2 linked regions of the Stegostoma tigrinum genome follow. The main gene of each other region encodes a partner of the protein of the gene in region 2 in a complex. Links are inferred from orthologs where the notes say so. Each region holds a gene or a part of one and is shown on either strand. Other genes may lie near its edges.

Region 1 (7,305 bases), on a different chromosome or scaffold from region 2:
CTTTCCAGCATATCTCCACAACTTCGCTTACTGATTAAAAATCTTCAATTATACTCCATCTGGAACTCAAATCCAGGTGACAATAATTCACTACATAAACCGCTTAAATTGCAATCAGCAATAACCTTACACAAGGCAATGATCAGAAAATGGATAAATGGATTTCCTAATATTCAATGAAGTCTTATCAGGTTAGATTATCTCCACAGCAGAGGGGTCGAAAACTTTCACCCAATAACACTTTGAGAGCAATGCAATTTCAGGACTGTGAGGCTTCAAGATAAAAGTCTTTAAGGATTAACTAGGAATAGGCAACAATTGTTTGACACATCTATTCTAAAAATTATTTTTTCATTTAAATTATTCCAGGTATACCTAAAGACTTAATTTGTTGAGATTCTCACTTTCAAATGGTTCTTAAAAGATATTTCAGTTGCCTGAATTTGATTAGGATGTGACTCAGTCCCTGGTGTCCAACAGTCTTTGGTTAATCAGAACCAAATATTATCAACTTAGTTTCAAAATGGTCCAGAACAAGTTGAATTAATGCAACATACAGCAACGTTCATTAGAACATGAAAACGTAAAACAATTTGTTAAAACTCCCGCATGACACAAATCTGGACATCTTCACTTCAACGTCATCACCGTCAAATACTAAAATATTACAGAAAGAAAAAATCACTTAATTGCGTTCGGTTCCAAATACGCCAAGTGAACTCTGAATGAGGGCAGCATTAAATTAACGATACATGATTCAAATATATATTATTTAATCAGCTTTCAATGCAGCTCATGAGTATACACTTAAATTTCCGTTGGATGATATATTGAACTCAGTTTCAACTGGGTGACTCAAACAATAATATTAACGCAAGAATAATTGTCCTGCACTCCATAACAAAATCGGAAGTTTTATTTTAAACGAATGCTCTTAGAAATCAGAGAACAAACGATAAGTTCCCTCATTGTGTTTGGTTGTTAGGTTCAACATAAAAGAAACATTGTTCAAAACGTATCTTTTGTGTACGACTGGGGGGCGAAGATGTCGACAAGAGAACAGGAAGATTTCGTGCATGTCAATTCATTAATCAGCCACACGTTTCCCATTGAAAACATTCGCTGTGTTTGGATCACGATTATTAGCTTTAACCTCTAGGTGGCCTTAGCTCTTGTCAACTTGCGACGAAGTGATCTTTGGAGATGTTTTCATTTTGACTTGAGCATTGATAATATTACACACCTCTGGAGCGGATCAAACATGAGTCCATGCTTTATAGCTCAAAGGCGGGGAAATTACCACTACACCGCAAGGGCCCAACACAATCTAGATGTTTCCTAACCCACCTGTCACACAGATGTCATTGCACATTTGGAGCTGATGGGACTCGAATTTGAGCCTTCTGGCTCAGAGATAGGGACACTATCACTCTGCCAAGGGAGCCCTCATCAACACAATTTTATTTTTGCTGCATGCAGTAGTACTCCACTCTATCAGTTAAGCTATTGAAGGAGAGCCACAACATGACCTAAGTACATGTTTTGAAGCACCCTGTTCAGATGGGTAATGGCACGTCTCTGGAGCAGATGGGTCTTGAACCTAAGATTTCAGGACCAGAGGTAGGTACGCTAGCACTCTACCATGTAGCTGTTAACACAAAACAGATATTTTCCTAATGCGCCTATTCAGAGATGTCCCACCTCTAGAGGGGACGAACGTGAACCCGGGTCACTTGGTCCAGATGTAAACACAATCTAGGTTTTTTTTTAAGTACCCAGAAGATCTGTCACGCACAACAGAGCTGCTTTCTCGCCATCAAATCACCATGACTTCATTTAAAAAAAACTACTACCACCGCAAGTAATCAGCCATGTTGCCAATTAAATTTCTACAAGGAAAACCCAGTCAAGGTGGTCTGAATTTGAAGTAGGATCCAGGTGACCAGCCATTTTCCTATATTGAATCGAGTGAACTGTCTTAATAGAATTCCTCATTAGAATCCCACTTCATAATCATACCTAGGTGTCCCTGGTGATGCAATGGTAGATTAGTTTAGATTCCCTACAGTGTGGAAACATGCCCTTCGGCCCAACAATTCCACACCGCCCCTTGGAACATCCCACCCAGACCCATCCCCCTATAACCCACACACCCCTGAACACTACAGGCAATTTAGCATGGCCAATCCACCTAGCCTGCACATCTTTGGACTGTGGGAGGAAATCGGAGCACCCAGAGGAAACCCACGCAGACACGGGGAGAATGTGCAAACTCCACACAGACAGTCGCCCGAGGCTGGAATCGAACCAGGGCCCCTGGCGCTGTGAGGCTGCAGTGCTAACCGCTGAGCCACTGTGCCGCCCACAACCCCTGGACCCAGTGTTCCAACCCCAGGACCGAAAGCCCCGGGTTCAGATTTCACGTGCTCCGAGGACAGGTTTTTTTTAAATGCCCAAGTACCCCCATCTCAACTAAACCTTTGTTCGATAATAGCTTGCAATTTTCAGTCAGGCATCCATTGATTAATGAAATGAGCATGTTAGTTGAGTTAAAGTGACAACTTACTTTCGGTTACCTAACGTTTCCTACCACGAGATCATCTAGGAGATATTCCATTAATTTTCAAAACGTATCGTAAGAATTGTTATTGAACATTCAATTCATCTGGACTCATCCATTATGTTCCAGTCAACAATTCGTTTCTGGATATGAATGATTCTACATGAAATTTTTCTTGAATTTCTTGATTAAATAAATCGTAAATTTGCCTCCTCTGTGTCAGTCATCAGACGAAATTTCGTGCATGTCTCCCGTAATGATGTGCTACCCCAGCCGTTTAACTTCGTCGTTGTTCCATGTTTCCTAATGGTTTCTGCCTTCTACCACCACCTCAGCCCTGGGCTCAGTTGTGACACAAAAATGATTCGAGACTCTCGCTTCTACGACAACTGCAATCGATGTTTTCCTCAACCAACGTATTGTATTTTTCCTCTGGAACAGAAACGACTTGAACGACGGAGAATCGTAGGTTTAGAGGTGGATACACTACCATTGCGCCAGAAAGCCTCTGACTGTCAACCAACCATTAATTGTTTTGGATGTAAAATCTTTGAATTCTTCGATTAGATTCTGCTGCAGTCCCCGTCTCCATTATTCAATACATAAACTTAGTGAACCCTCCAAGAGACTGCATTTGCTAACCCACCCAAGATATCGACCAGCCCTTGCTAAACTGTCACTTAATACATTCAGAGCATTGATTGAGCACGCAGTTGAACAAAAAAAAACTATTATACCAAGACAGTTTTCAATCGGGATGCATTTTCCCTTTGCCTTACTTTGTCACAAAAAAGTAACCTTTTGATTGGTAATTTCGTCGCTGACAAAATTCCTAATATCACATTCCACCAGATTTGAGACAGACATATATAAGCTTCTGCATGTATTCTGCATCCAACGCCACAGCAGTTGGGGAAGGAGAAGAAATAACATTAAGTATGAAATCTAAATTTGCACAAATTCCACAGTCCAGGCCATGATCCGTTGCTTGAATTATTGTGCTTGGGTGTTTTTAGCTGTAATTATACTCAGTAGTTGTACAGACAATCCGTCCATATCTAAATAGATTTATGGAAGCAGTTGGATTTTAACACTACGTGGAAAGACTGAGGTTGTTCCTCTTCCATCCCAGGTTAGGGGGAGATTTAGTAGACGGATTGTAAACTGAAGAGTGTTTGAGGAGATACTGTGACCAGCGGGTCAGTGACTACAAGGCGTAAATTTCCAAGATATTTGGCAAAACAGCCAAAAGAGACATGAATATTTTATGGCGAGAGTGAGGTGTGATCGCGAATACACAACCCAAACATGTTATGGAAACAAATCCGAAAAAAAAAACTGAATCAATAGTTGAAGGGGCGAAACTTGTGAGATTGGGATAGTTTTTACAGAGTGGCATTGTGAGTTCTCCCTCCGTGTTGTAAGATTCTATGAGATAAGGTCCTGGGGACGGTTCAAACATGGACATTTTTACATGGAGGGACATAAGCCGAGAAAAGTTTGGAATTTTATAATGATCATTCCAATCAGCGGGCGAGGAAGCAGTAGTGAGACCTTGCTCTGGAGATGATCACACATTACAAGCACCTCCTTCGATAAATTATTAAACCGGCTCTGACTACGCGTTCCCATTCCACAGGGAATGCCGATGACGTCCTTGTGTATGCATTTAGGTCTTTTTTTCTTGGAACTGGAACGTGACTGCTCTATGTGGACAGTTACTTGGTCTGTCGTATAAAACCAGCAAGTTTCCGCGTGTTGGATATCAGAGTTCCAGTCCTGGGACTTGAAGAGAACTAGGGGATCTCGACTTCGCTGAGAGAAAGAGACAGAAACAACCAAGAAGACTGTTAGAGGGTCAGGAAGAACTCAGAAATAGCCGCGGACAGAACTGAGCGATCTTTGTTCTTCAGTTTCTCATTCTCTAACTCAGCACCAAGGACAGCGGCTAAACACACAGCTACAATCTGAAGCAACAACGTAATAGTAAGTGTTTCAACTGGCTTTTGATCGCTAAATCTGTTTCTGGAAGGTGCAAAAACGGAACAATCTTGAACAATGTACTCTCCCATGTATTTCCAAACAAACTGATAGTTATTACGCGCGTGTGTGCGTGTGCGTGTGTGTGTGTAAAAGAGAGAAAGAGAATGAGAGAATTGGGTTTGAGATAATAGATTAGAATTTCGAGTAGTATGTCTCGAGCTTTGCTGCTGATATAGACTTATTTCCAAGAAAGGTTATACGGCGAACTTTGACTTCCCGTACCACTCCCAAAGACATCCCTAAATTTTCAGCTACGACCCAGGTCCGAAACCATTCAGTGGAGTGAGAGACCTCTTCGAATAGCTTTATTGAGGTAACGCCTTCCTATGTTGGATTTCAGGATCCGACGCAATGGTGATTCGGCTCAGCTCCCACGTCCTGACGCTTTTCGCTCTTCTGAATGTGTTCGGCTCCCGCACATCGGGGTTCCCGGCGCTTGGAACCTACTCCCACCTGAGGTAAGTTCGCTGCCCGCTTTCTCCCCCCGCCTCCAAAGGCACTCGTTTCCGTGTGAAATGCCCTCAGTGATTTTCTTTACATGAAGAGTCCTGAACAATTGTGGGCAATCATGCTGCAATTTCAGTTATTTCACACGACCGACTTGAAAATAGAGCATTGAGCTGTTCGGAGAGCTGTGTGGCGTAGGTCCTTATGTATATTTTACGCTGAGATAGATTCTCAGGACAGTTCTGAGTGTCAGCAGACCCGAAATGTTAACTCTTTTTTTCCCTCCATAGATGCTGCCAGACCTGCTGAGCTTTTCCAGCAACTTCGTTTCCAATCCTGAATCACAGGTTCCGCAGTTCTTTTGGTTTTATTGTTTAGGTTTTTGTTCAGTTGGGGAGCCAAGGGTTATGGGAAAAGAGCAGGAAGTGAGGAATGTGGAATCAGCTATGACCCTGTGAACGGTGGAGCAGACTGGAGGCACCAAACGGCGTACTGCTGTTGCTATTTCTTACAGTCATTGCATCTGGGGATGAAGGGAGATGGGTCCATCCGCAATCTCGATTGTACGTTGCAGGATAGTGGCGTCGAAATGCACATACTTGAGGGGCTTGACAATTCAGCCTCGCGCCCAGAGCTTTGCTATGAAAACACGAACGGGGGAGAAGCGGGGGTGGGGGGAGGGTACAGCTGATGATCACAACTTCCAGGTATTTCATTGAATTTGGGCTGATTTGAATCCATCACATTAACTGCGGGGATAATGCTCATAAATGAAGTTGCCACATTCGAAGGGGAGTGGGGAAGAGTCACTGGGATGATGAAGATGATGCGGTCAATGTTGGAATGAATGACTTATTTATGGGCTCTCAATGGTTAAAAAAACAACTATATAAACCTGAACATTACACTCCGCAGATTGAACAGGGAGTGTGAATCTGAGGTTCCCTCCCAACTCTTTCTAGAGGATTATCTTAGACCTCAACGTCTTTGTAATGTTACTCCTGGAACAAGCCGGACACAATGCTGATAACCGGTGAAAAGAAGGGCGTTCTTTCGATTGAGATTTTCTCTGTGATTATTGCTAATGCCTTTCTTCAGTCTGCCCAGAAAACTGATGTGATCCTGTGTTGAGACATTATAGGATAATTCAAGATTGGCTTTAATCGGTATGTCCGGGGAAAAGTTCATAGATGCGGAAACCAAATGTCTGCAGATTGTAACATCATCACTTCTGCCTCAAATTGCGTACCGATCACCCATTTTATACAGAGACAACAAGGTGTAGAGCTGGAGGAACACAGCAGGCCAAGCAGCATCAGAGGAGCAGGAAAGCTAACGTTTTGGGCCTAGACCGTTCTTCATTTTTGGAGGAGGGTCTGGGCTGGAAACGTCATCTTTCCTGCTCCTCTGATGCTGCTTGGCCTGCTGTGCTCATCTGTAGTTCCTACTATCTCTGAAACCCTTTCTTATATGGTTGGCTTCTGTTATTCTGATGCAGTTCAGTTCATTGTCATGTATGGCTCTGTCTACGCTGTTTGTCAGTGCTGTGGCCATTAGGTTACACTAACAGAAATAGTAGGAACTGCAGGAGAAGGCTCTCGGCCCAAAACGTCAGTCTTCTTGTTCCTCTGATGCTGCTTGGCTTGCTGTGTTCATCCAGCTCTACACCTTGTTATCTCAGGTTACACTAACACATTATTTGTGAGCCAGCCTCGTGTTATTTACAGCCAGGCCAATGCTAGAGTTGGACTGATTTTATTTACCTCTAACCTTCAGGCTGGGAAATGCTGCTGGGTTCGATGGTCAGTCCAGGGAGGATCAGTCACAACCACCAGTGAAAGGTGATAGTGACATTTACCAAAGCCCATTGTCAGACAGTGATAAACTCTATTACCAGTTGTCTGCAAGCATTCCAAGGTGAGAGTACTATATTGCCAATCTCGTATTTAAAACAAATAACAATTCAAAACTGCGCACAAATGGGCCTAGTATAATGATCTACGTTAACACTTAGGAAACACGATCAGGAGTGGGTCAGTCACCCTCCTGGAACCTGTTCTACCGTTCAAAATTCATGGTTGATCAGGTTGTGGCCTGAATACGCGTCTTATTTTCCCTCCTCAACCGAGTAACACTTCACTCTTTGTCCATTAAAAAAACTTTAGTTCCACCCTGAATATATTCAATGGCTTAGCCTCTAATGTCCATACCAAGAGAATTCCCAAGACGTGCAAATGAGTGGAGAATTGCCACCT
Region 2 (7,346 bases):
AGCATGCAATACAACACTTTTCACCGTATCTCGGTACAGGTGACAATAATAAATCAAATCAAAATATATCCTTCAGTTGATTAACACCGAAATAGATGATCTGATCATCGATCACATTGCTGTTTGTGTGAGCTTACTGTGCTCCAAATAGCCTCCACATTACAGCAGTGATGGCACTTCAAATTGGCTGGGAGGTATCCAGGTGCTAGGTAAATGTAGGCTCCTGTTTTCTACCTTATTGCTTCCTCTGGCATTATGCCTTTTCCCAGCCTGTAACTGGTTGGTGTGCTCCTCGGACAGTGCGACAGGGCCTGGTCACCTCTCCTCCCAATGTTGTTCACTCACCTGTCTCTGAACTCTGATTGTCTGTACTCAGTTTCAGGAAACATTCCTGTTGTAGCTGTGTGACCCTCAGCATAATCTCACAGGCAGGGACCATACACAGCACCTGCAGAGACAAAACACTCCGATTAGAAGCTGCAACATTCACAAAAGTCACTCTCCCCATCAGTTATATTCTCTAAACTGGCCCTTCCTACACATGTGTTTTCTGATTTAGAATCATAGAGTCGTAGAGGTACACAGCGCGGAAACAGACTCTTCAGTCCAACTCGTCCACACCAACTAGATATCCTAAATTAATCTAGTCCCATTTGCCAGCATTTGGACCATATCCCTCCAAACCCATCCAGACGCCTTTAAAATGTTCTCATTGTACCAGCCTCCACCACCTCCTCTGGCAGTCCATTCCACACATGCACCACCCTCTGCATGAAAAAGCTGCCCTATAGGACCCTTTTATATGTTACCTCCCTCCACTTTAAACCTATGCCCCTCTAGTTTTGGACTCCCCTGCCCTGGGGAAAACACCTTGACTCTTCACCTTATCCATGCCCCTCATGATTTCATAAACCTCTACAAGATCACCGCTGAGCCTCTGATGCTCCTTGTGGATGTATGAATGCTGGGTTTATTTAATATTGTTACTGTGGATGCAGTGCGTACCAGCTACAAGATGCACTGCAGAAATTCGCCAAAGATCCTCAGACAGCACCTTCTAAACTCACGACCACTTCCAACCAGAAGGACAAGGGCAGCAGATACATAGGAACACCATGCCCTGCAAGTTCCCCTCCGAGCCACTCACTGTCCCGACTTGGAAATATATCACCGTTCCTTCGCTACCAAGGGGTCAAAATCCTGGCATTCCCTCACCTTATCGCAAAATGATTATTAGTTATGGCACTGAAGGAGACTATTTGGCTCCACTGTGCGGAACTGCATTGTGGGTATCCTGCCACAAAAATTGGCTGTAGCGGTTCAAGAAGGCAGCTCACCCCCATCAAGGGGCAACTAGGGACGGGCAATAAATGCTGGGCACAGCCAGCGATGCCCACATCGCACAAGTATCTCTGAATAAAGAGACCACCTGGTTGGTACAGAATTGCAGAGCGATCACTCAGCCGTTGGGAGTAAGTTTTTGGAATGTGGTTGTGTGCTTTTGCATCAACAAAATGCGATTTTCTGCCCATCTTTCCAGGAGTCAGAGACTCATTGGCTAGTTACAGTTTGGGAAGAGTGCCCCCTCTGTCACTCCAACATTCAGAAGAATCAGAGGAGATCTCACTGAAACGTGTTAAGGGGATTAATGCAGACAGGTTTGTTTCCTCTTGTGGGAGACTATAGGAGCAGGGGGCATCATCTCAGAATGAGGGGTCACACATATACGACAGAAATGAGGCAGAATTTTCTTCTCGCAGAGGGGAGCGAATCTGTGGAATTCTTTACCCCAGAGGGTCGAGGTTGGGTCCTTATGCACATCCAAGGCTGAGACAGACAGACATTTAATCAGAAACAAAAGCAGAAATTGTTGGTTCAGCTCAGCAGGTCTGTGAAGAGGAATCAGAGTTAACTTTGCGGGCCGAGTGACCCTTCCTCAGTATTTAATTTGTTAAGGGCGTTGGGGAAAAGGCAGTCGAGGGTTATGGGATCGGCCAAGATCTCGCTGAGGGGGACAGCAGAGTCGGTGGGCTGAATGGCTTCCTTCTGCTCTTACATGTTACAGCCACTGGCCTGCATGTCCATTCCGTCATCTCCCACAGGGGTCTTAAGCCAACTGCAGCTCTTTGGAAGAATTTTCCTAACCAGGTGGGGAGAAGGGTCACACACGGAGATGATGCCGAATTTCACCTGCAACTTCTGTGGCGTTGCACACACAGGTGACACTTGAACGCCGGGCTTGCTAGCTCAGAGACAGGGACCTACCACTGCACTACAGACAAGCCATTCCCCGCCTGTTAGAAGCGTAACATTCCAACTGAAACATACTATATCCAACATCTACAGCGCACCTTTACAAGGGAAATACTGTTAATAGTTGGACCCACTAAATCTAAAGATAACGAGGTACAAAACAATTTAAAAATTGTGATGTGATTTGACTTCAGTCGCTACATCCTCAGGATAATAATGACTTAACTTAAAATGAGTTAAAATTGGTTGTATAATTCGCTTCCCTGTTGCAATTTAATTCGGATCAACTTCCACTCTATTTCTCCCAGATTCGGTTTTAGTTGGTCTTCCTAACTCTGTATTTGCCGGAAGAGAATAAGAAGGCCGTTATTAACGAATTCGCTTACCCGGGGGATTGCGCTGTGCGCTAGCAGCGCCGCCAGCAACACGCAAACTTGAGCGAACTCCATTCGGTCCGTCTTGCGCCGCTCGGAAATTCGAGCTGCACTCGTTCAGCGGCGGGGGCTCTCCAGCACGCCGGGTCTGCGCTCATCCTTCCCCCGCCTGAGCTACTGCTTCTGTCGCAAGGCAAAGGCCAAACATCTCCTAATTGTTAAACAAAAACTAAAACACACAAGTTGACACACAGCAACGAGAGCCGTAGATTCTGGCTTCCGGTCAGCTCCAGGAGCCTCCACAGTCTCTGATCCGAGACCAGGTTTGGGTGTCTCTTATTGTATATTGATTCTCCTTTTGATAGACAGAAGCAGCCGCCAACCAGGGACTGAGCCACCTCGCTTTGCACCAACTACAGCCCCACGATCTGGGGGTGGGACTATCAGGTACCTGACACTGGACAGCCCTGTGTTAGAGGCAGAAAAGAAACGGCAGATGCTGGAATCCAAGGCAGACAGACAAACAGGGGGCTGGAAGACCACAGCAGACCAGAAGGAAAGGAGCAGTCAACGTTTCGGGTATAACCCTTCTTTCCAACATAGAGCAGTACAGCACAGTGCAGGCCCTTCGGCCCACGATGTTGTGCCGACCTATTATTCCTACTCTAAGATCTAACTAGCCGGCATACCGTACATTTTACTATCCTCCATGTGCCTATCCAAGAGTCGCTTAATTGTCCCCAATGTATCTGACTCCACTGCCTTCCCTGCACTCACCTCTCTCTGTGTTAGCATGTCCCGAAGAAGGGTAATACCTGAAATATTGACTGCTCCTTTCCTCCAGATGCTGCCTGTCCTGCTGTGTTCTTCCAGCCTCCTGTGTGCGCGGTCTGTGCAGTCCTTGATTTATGATGCGTCCTAGATTTTAATGCCATAATATTTTACGCAGACATGGGGATGATTGGCGACATTAACAATGCCATTCATGATGTGTCTAATACAGGGACTAACCCTGACCCATGATCCTCAATGAAAAGGAGCATTTCTCCTCACCTCCACCCTCTGCAGCCTCAACATTGCGTTTTTGTTTGGATGAGCTGTTAAACTGCCTCCTTAGGGTGAGTAAAATACCTCATGGTGATATTTTGTGAAAGGATTCAGGTTTCCCTCTTTAGTAATGAATCGGCCAATATCCATTCTTCAACCAAAAACTTTATAGAGCCTTGGGTCATAGAGTTATACATCACAGAAACAGACACTTCGCTCCAACTCACTATGCCAACCAGATATCCTAAACTAATCCAGTTCCATTGAATCGCGGGAGCAAGTTACTGCAGAAGCTAGAATCTACACTGAGAGCAAAAATTGCTGGAGATCTCAGCAGATCAGGCAGCATCCAGGGAGAGAGAGCAAACTAACATTTCAAGTCTAAAAGACTTTTCAACAGAGCCAATGTGAAATGCCCATTTGCCAGCATTTGGCCCATATCCCTCCGAACACCATGTACCCATCCAGCTGCCTTTTAAATGCTGTAACTGTACCAGCACCCACCACTTCCTCAGTCAGCTCATTTCATACACGCACCACCTTCTGCGTGAATAAGTTTCCCCTAAGGTCCCTTTTATATCTTTCTCCTCTCACTTTAAAACTATGCCATTTAGTTTTGGACTCCCTCAACCCGGGGAAAAGACCTTGTCTATTCACTCTATCCATGCCCCTCATGATTTTATAAACCTCAATAAGGTCACCCCTCAGCCTCCAACCCTCCAGGGAAAATAGCCCCCAAGCCTATTCAAGCCCTCCAATTCTGGCAACATCCTTGGAAATCTTTACCGAATCCTTTCAAGTTTAACAAGATTTTTTCTACAACGGGGAGACCAGAATTGCAGGCAGTATTTCAAAAGTGACATAACCAGGGTAGTGTACAGCTGCAATATGTCCTCCCAACCCCTGTACTCAATGCACTGACCAATAAAGGCAAGCATACCAAACACCTTCTTCACTATCCTATCTACCTGCAACTCCACCTTCAAGGAACAATGAGCACACCAAGGTCTCTTCATTCAACAAAACTCCCCAAGACCTTACAATTAAATGTGTAAGTCCTGCCCTGATTTGCCTTTCCAAAATGCAGCACCTCACATTTATCTAAATTAAACTCCATCTGCCACTCCTCGACCCATTGGCCCATTGATCAAAGTCCTGTTGTCCTCTGAGATAATCCTCTTCATTTTCCACTATGCCGTCAATTTTGGTGTCACTTGCAAACTTACTAATCGTATCTTCCATGTTCACATCCAAATCATTGATGTTCCCTGGTCACTTTTCTCATTGCTGTTCATGGGTGCTTACTATAAGCAAATTTGTTGCTGTGTTTTTCTATGATATGGTAGTTACATTTCAAGAAGTATTACATCCTCTACTCAGCAGCGTCGTCTCCCTCCACAGCAGCTTTCTGAGACTGAAACAGATCTTACACACCCTTGGTGTCATATTTTGTTTCAAGATAAGCTTGTGTTTGCACGAGAAATTGAGCGGTCCAGGCCTGTACTCTCAGGAGTTGAGAAGCATGAGAAGAGATCTAGTTGAGATGAATAGATGTAGACAGAATGTTTCCTCATGTGGGGCAATTTAGAATGAATAGTCATACTTTTAGAATAAGGGGTGGCAGATTTAAAACAGAGATGAGGAGAAATTACTTGTCTCAAAGGGTCAGAAACCTGTGGAATTCACTCCCCTAGAATGCAGTACTTGTTGGTTTAAGCAGGAGATAGACAGATTTTTAATTAGTAAGAGGTTGAAGGATTGGATGACACTTGGCTCTGTGGTTAGCATCGCTGCCTCACAGCACCAGGGACCTGGGTTCAATTCCATCTTCGGGTGACTGACTACGGTAGAGTTCACAAATTCTTCCTGTGTCTGCGTGAGATCGCTCCGACTTCCTCCCACTGTCCAAAGACTAAATCTAAACCTAAGATGTGCAGGTTAGGTGGATAGCCATGCTAACTTGCTCCATAGAATCAAGGGATGTGAAGGTTAGGTGGATTAGCCAGGGTAATTGAGAGGTTACAGACATAATTCGGGTGGGATGCTGTTCAGAGGGTCAGTATGGGCTCAATGGGCCAAATGACCTCCTTCCACACTGTCAGTATTCAATGATAATGGATAGCAGACAGGAAAGTGGAGTTGAGGCCAAGTCGAGATCAGCCATGATTGTATTAAATAGTGGAGCAGGCTGTAGGGGCTGAATGGCCTAGTTCTTATTCCAGACAGTGCTAAGATCAGCGAATCCAACATCCAGAATATCTTCAACTTTCACCCTGTTTCGGCATGTCTTATTGTCTGTAGGGTGTGCATTTTGGCAACATGAAGGGAGGGACTGAATAATATTTAAATGGAGAAAGACTGCAGAAGGTTACAGATCAGAGAGGTTTGGGAGTCCTCATCCATAAATCACAAAAAGCTGACATCCATGTTCAGCCAGAAACAGGGAAGCCAAATGGAATTTTGGCTTTTTTTTTGAAGGGAATGGAATATAAAAGTAGGGAAGTTTTGCTAAAACTGTAAAAGTTAGACCACAGCTGGAATACTGTGGATAGTTTTGGGCCCCTTATTGAAGAAAAGATGGACTGGCATTGGAGGCAGCCCAGGGAAGTTTCATTAGGCTGATCCCAGATGTGGAGAGACTATCTTATGAGGGGTGAGTTCAGCAGGTTTGATTTGATTTTATTTGTTATGAAATATGTGCTTACGTACAGTGAAAAGTTCTGTTTTGCATTAGTTCAGGCTGATCTTAACCATAAAAATTGCATTAGGGTAATAGAACAGAGCAAGGAATACAATGTTATGTGCACAATGAGTGAGACCGACATTAAATTTAAAATTTGAGAGGGCCATTCAGAAGTCTGATAACAGCAGGGAAGAAGCTGTTCTTGAATCTGTTGGTACTTGTTTAAGCTTTTGTATCTTCTGCCCGACAAAGGAAAGGTCACTTTGTTGGGATTGTACTATAGGCCCCCTAACAGTAAGAAAGAAATTGAGAAACGAGTATGTAGGGACAGCTCAGATATATGTAAGTGTAATAAAGTTGTGATAACGGGGAGTTTTAATTTTCCGAACCTTGACTGGGGCTACCATAGTGTTAAAGGTTTGGATGATGAAGAATTTGTCAAATGTGTTCAAGAAAGCTTCCTTGATCGATATGTGGATGCTTCTAATAGAAAAGGAGCAAAATTAAAAGCTTCTTTTGGGCAATAAGGCAGGGCACGTGACTGAAATAAAAGTGGGTCCACACTGTGGGTTTAGCGATCATAATGCTATTAGTTTCAAAGTGGTTGTGGAAAAGGATAAGCCTTCCATGAAAGTTAAAGTTTTTAATTGTAGTAAGGCAAATTTTAATGATATGAGACAAGAACTTTCAAAAGTTGATTGGAGCAGACTGTTTGTTGGTAAAAGGACATCTGACAAGTGGAAGGTGTTCAAGAGTATGATGACAAGAGTTCAGATGCATTTTGTTCCTGTGAAGGGTAGGGCTGGTAAGATTAAGGAATAATGGATAAATAAAGATATTGAGGTTCTAGTCAAGAATAAAAAAGAATCTTTTTAAAAATACAGACAACTTGGACCGACTGAATCTCTTAATCAATATAAGGAGTTTAGGGGCATTTTTAAGACAGTAATCAGGAAGGCAAAATGAAATCTGAAATAGCATTGGCAGAT

Evidence for each region.
Region 1: the proteins of vasoactive intestinal polypeptide receptor-like (region 2) and vip are in contact, whole or in part, in a cryo-EM structure (PDB 8E3Z), measured with the Homo sapiens proteins. The link is inferred for Stegostoma tigrinum from reciprocal best matches to the Homo sapiens genes VIPR1 and VIP. Residues at the interface, in NP_004615.2 of Homo sapiens: Glu36, Cys37, Val40, Ile43, Asn69, Phe90, Leu92, Phe93, Tyr118, Ile120, Asp125, Asp126, Asp132, Gln135, Thr136, Tyr139, Val142, Lys143, Tyr146, Tyr150, Arg188, Lys195, Phe200, Ser202, Glu204, Ser205, Gln207, Cys208, Met219, Phe222; in NP_003372.1 of Homo sapiens: His125, Ser126, Asp127, Ala128, Val129, Phe130, Thr131, Asp132, Asn133, Tyr134, Thr135, Arg136, Leu137, Arg138, Lys139, Gln140, Met141, Ala142, Val143, Lys144, Lys145, Tyr146, Leu147, Asn148, Ile150, Leu151, Asn152.

The regions. Positions count from the first base shown.
Region 1 is NC_081362.1:94,092,352-94,099,656, forward strand, and holds the start of vip (VIP peptides), read left to right. Parts: upstream 1-4,203; 5' UTR 4,204-4,546; intron 4,547-4,943; 5' UTR 4,944-4,954; coding exon 4,955-5,061; intron 5,062-6,826; coding exon 6,827-6,967; intron 6,968-7,305. UniProt on the Homo sapiens protein: PHM-27 and PHV-42 are two bioactive forms from proteolysis of the same precursor protein, that cause vasodilation. PHM-27 is a potent agonist of the calcitonin receptor CALCR, with similar efficacy as calcitonin.
Region 2 is NC_081355.1:151,506,156-151,513,501, forward strand, and holds the start of vasoactive intestinal polypeptide receptor-like, read right to left. Parts: upstream 3,264-7,346; 5' UTR 2,703-3,263; coding exon 2,640-2,702; intron 449-2,639; coding exon 346-448; intron 1-345. UniProt on the Homo sapiens protein: G protein-coupled receptor activated by the neuropeptides vasoactive intestinal peptide (VIP) and pituitary adenylate cyclase-activating polypeptide (ADCYAP1/PACAP).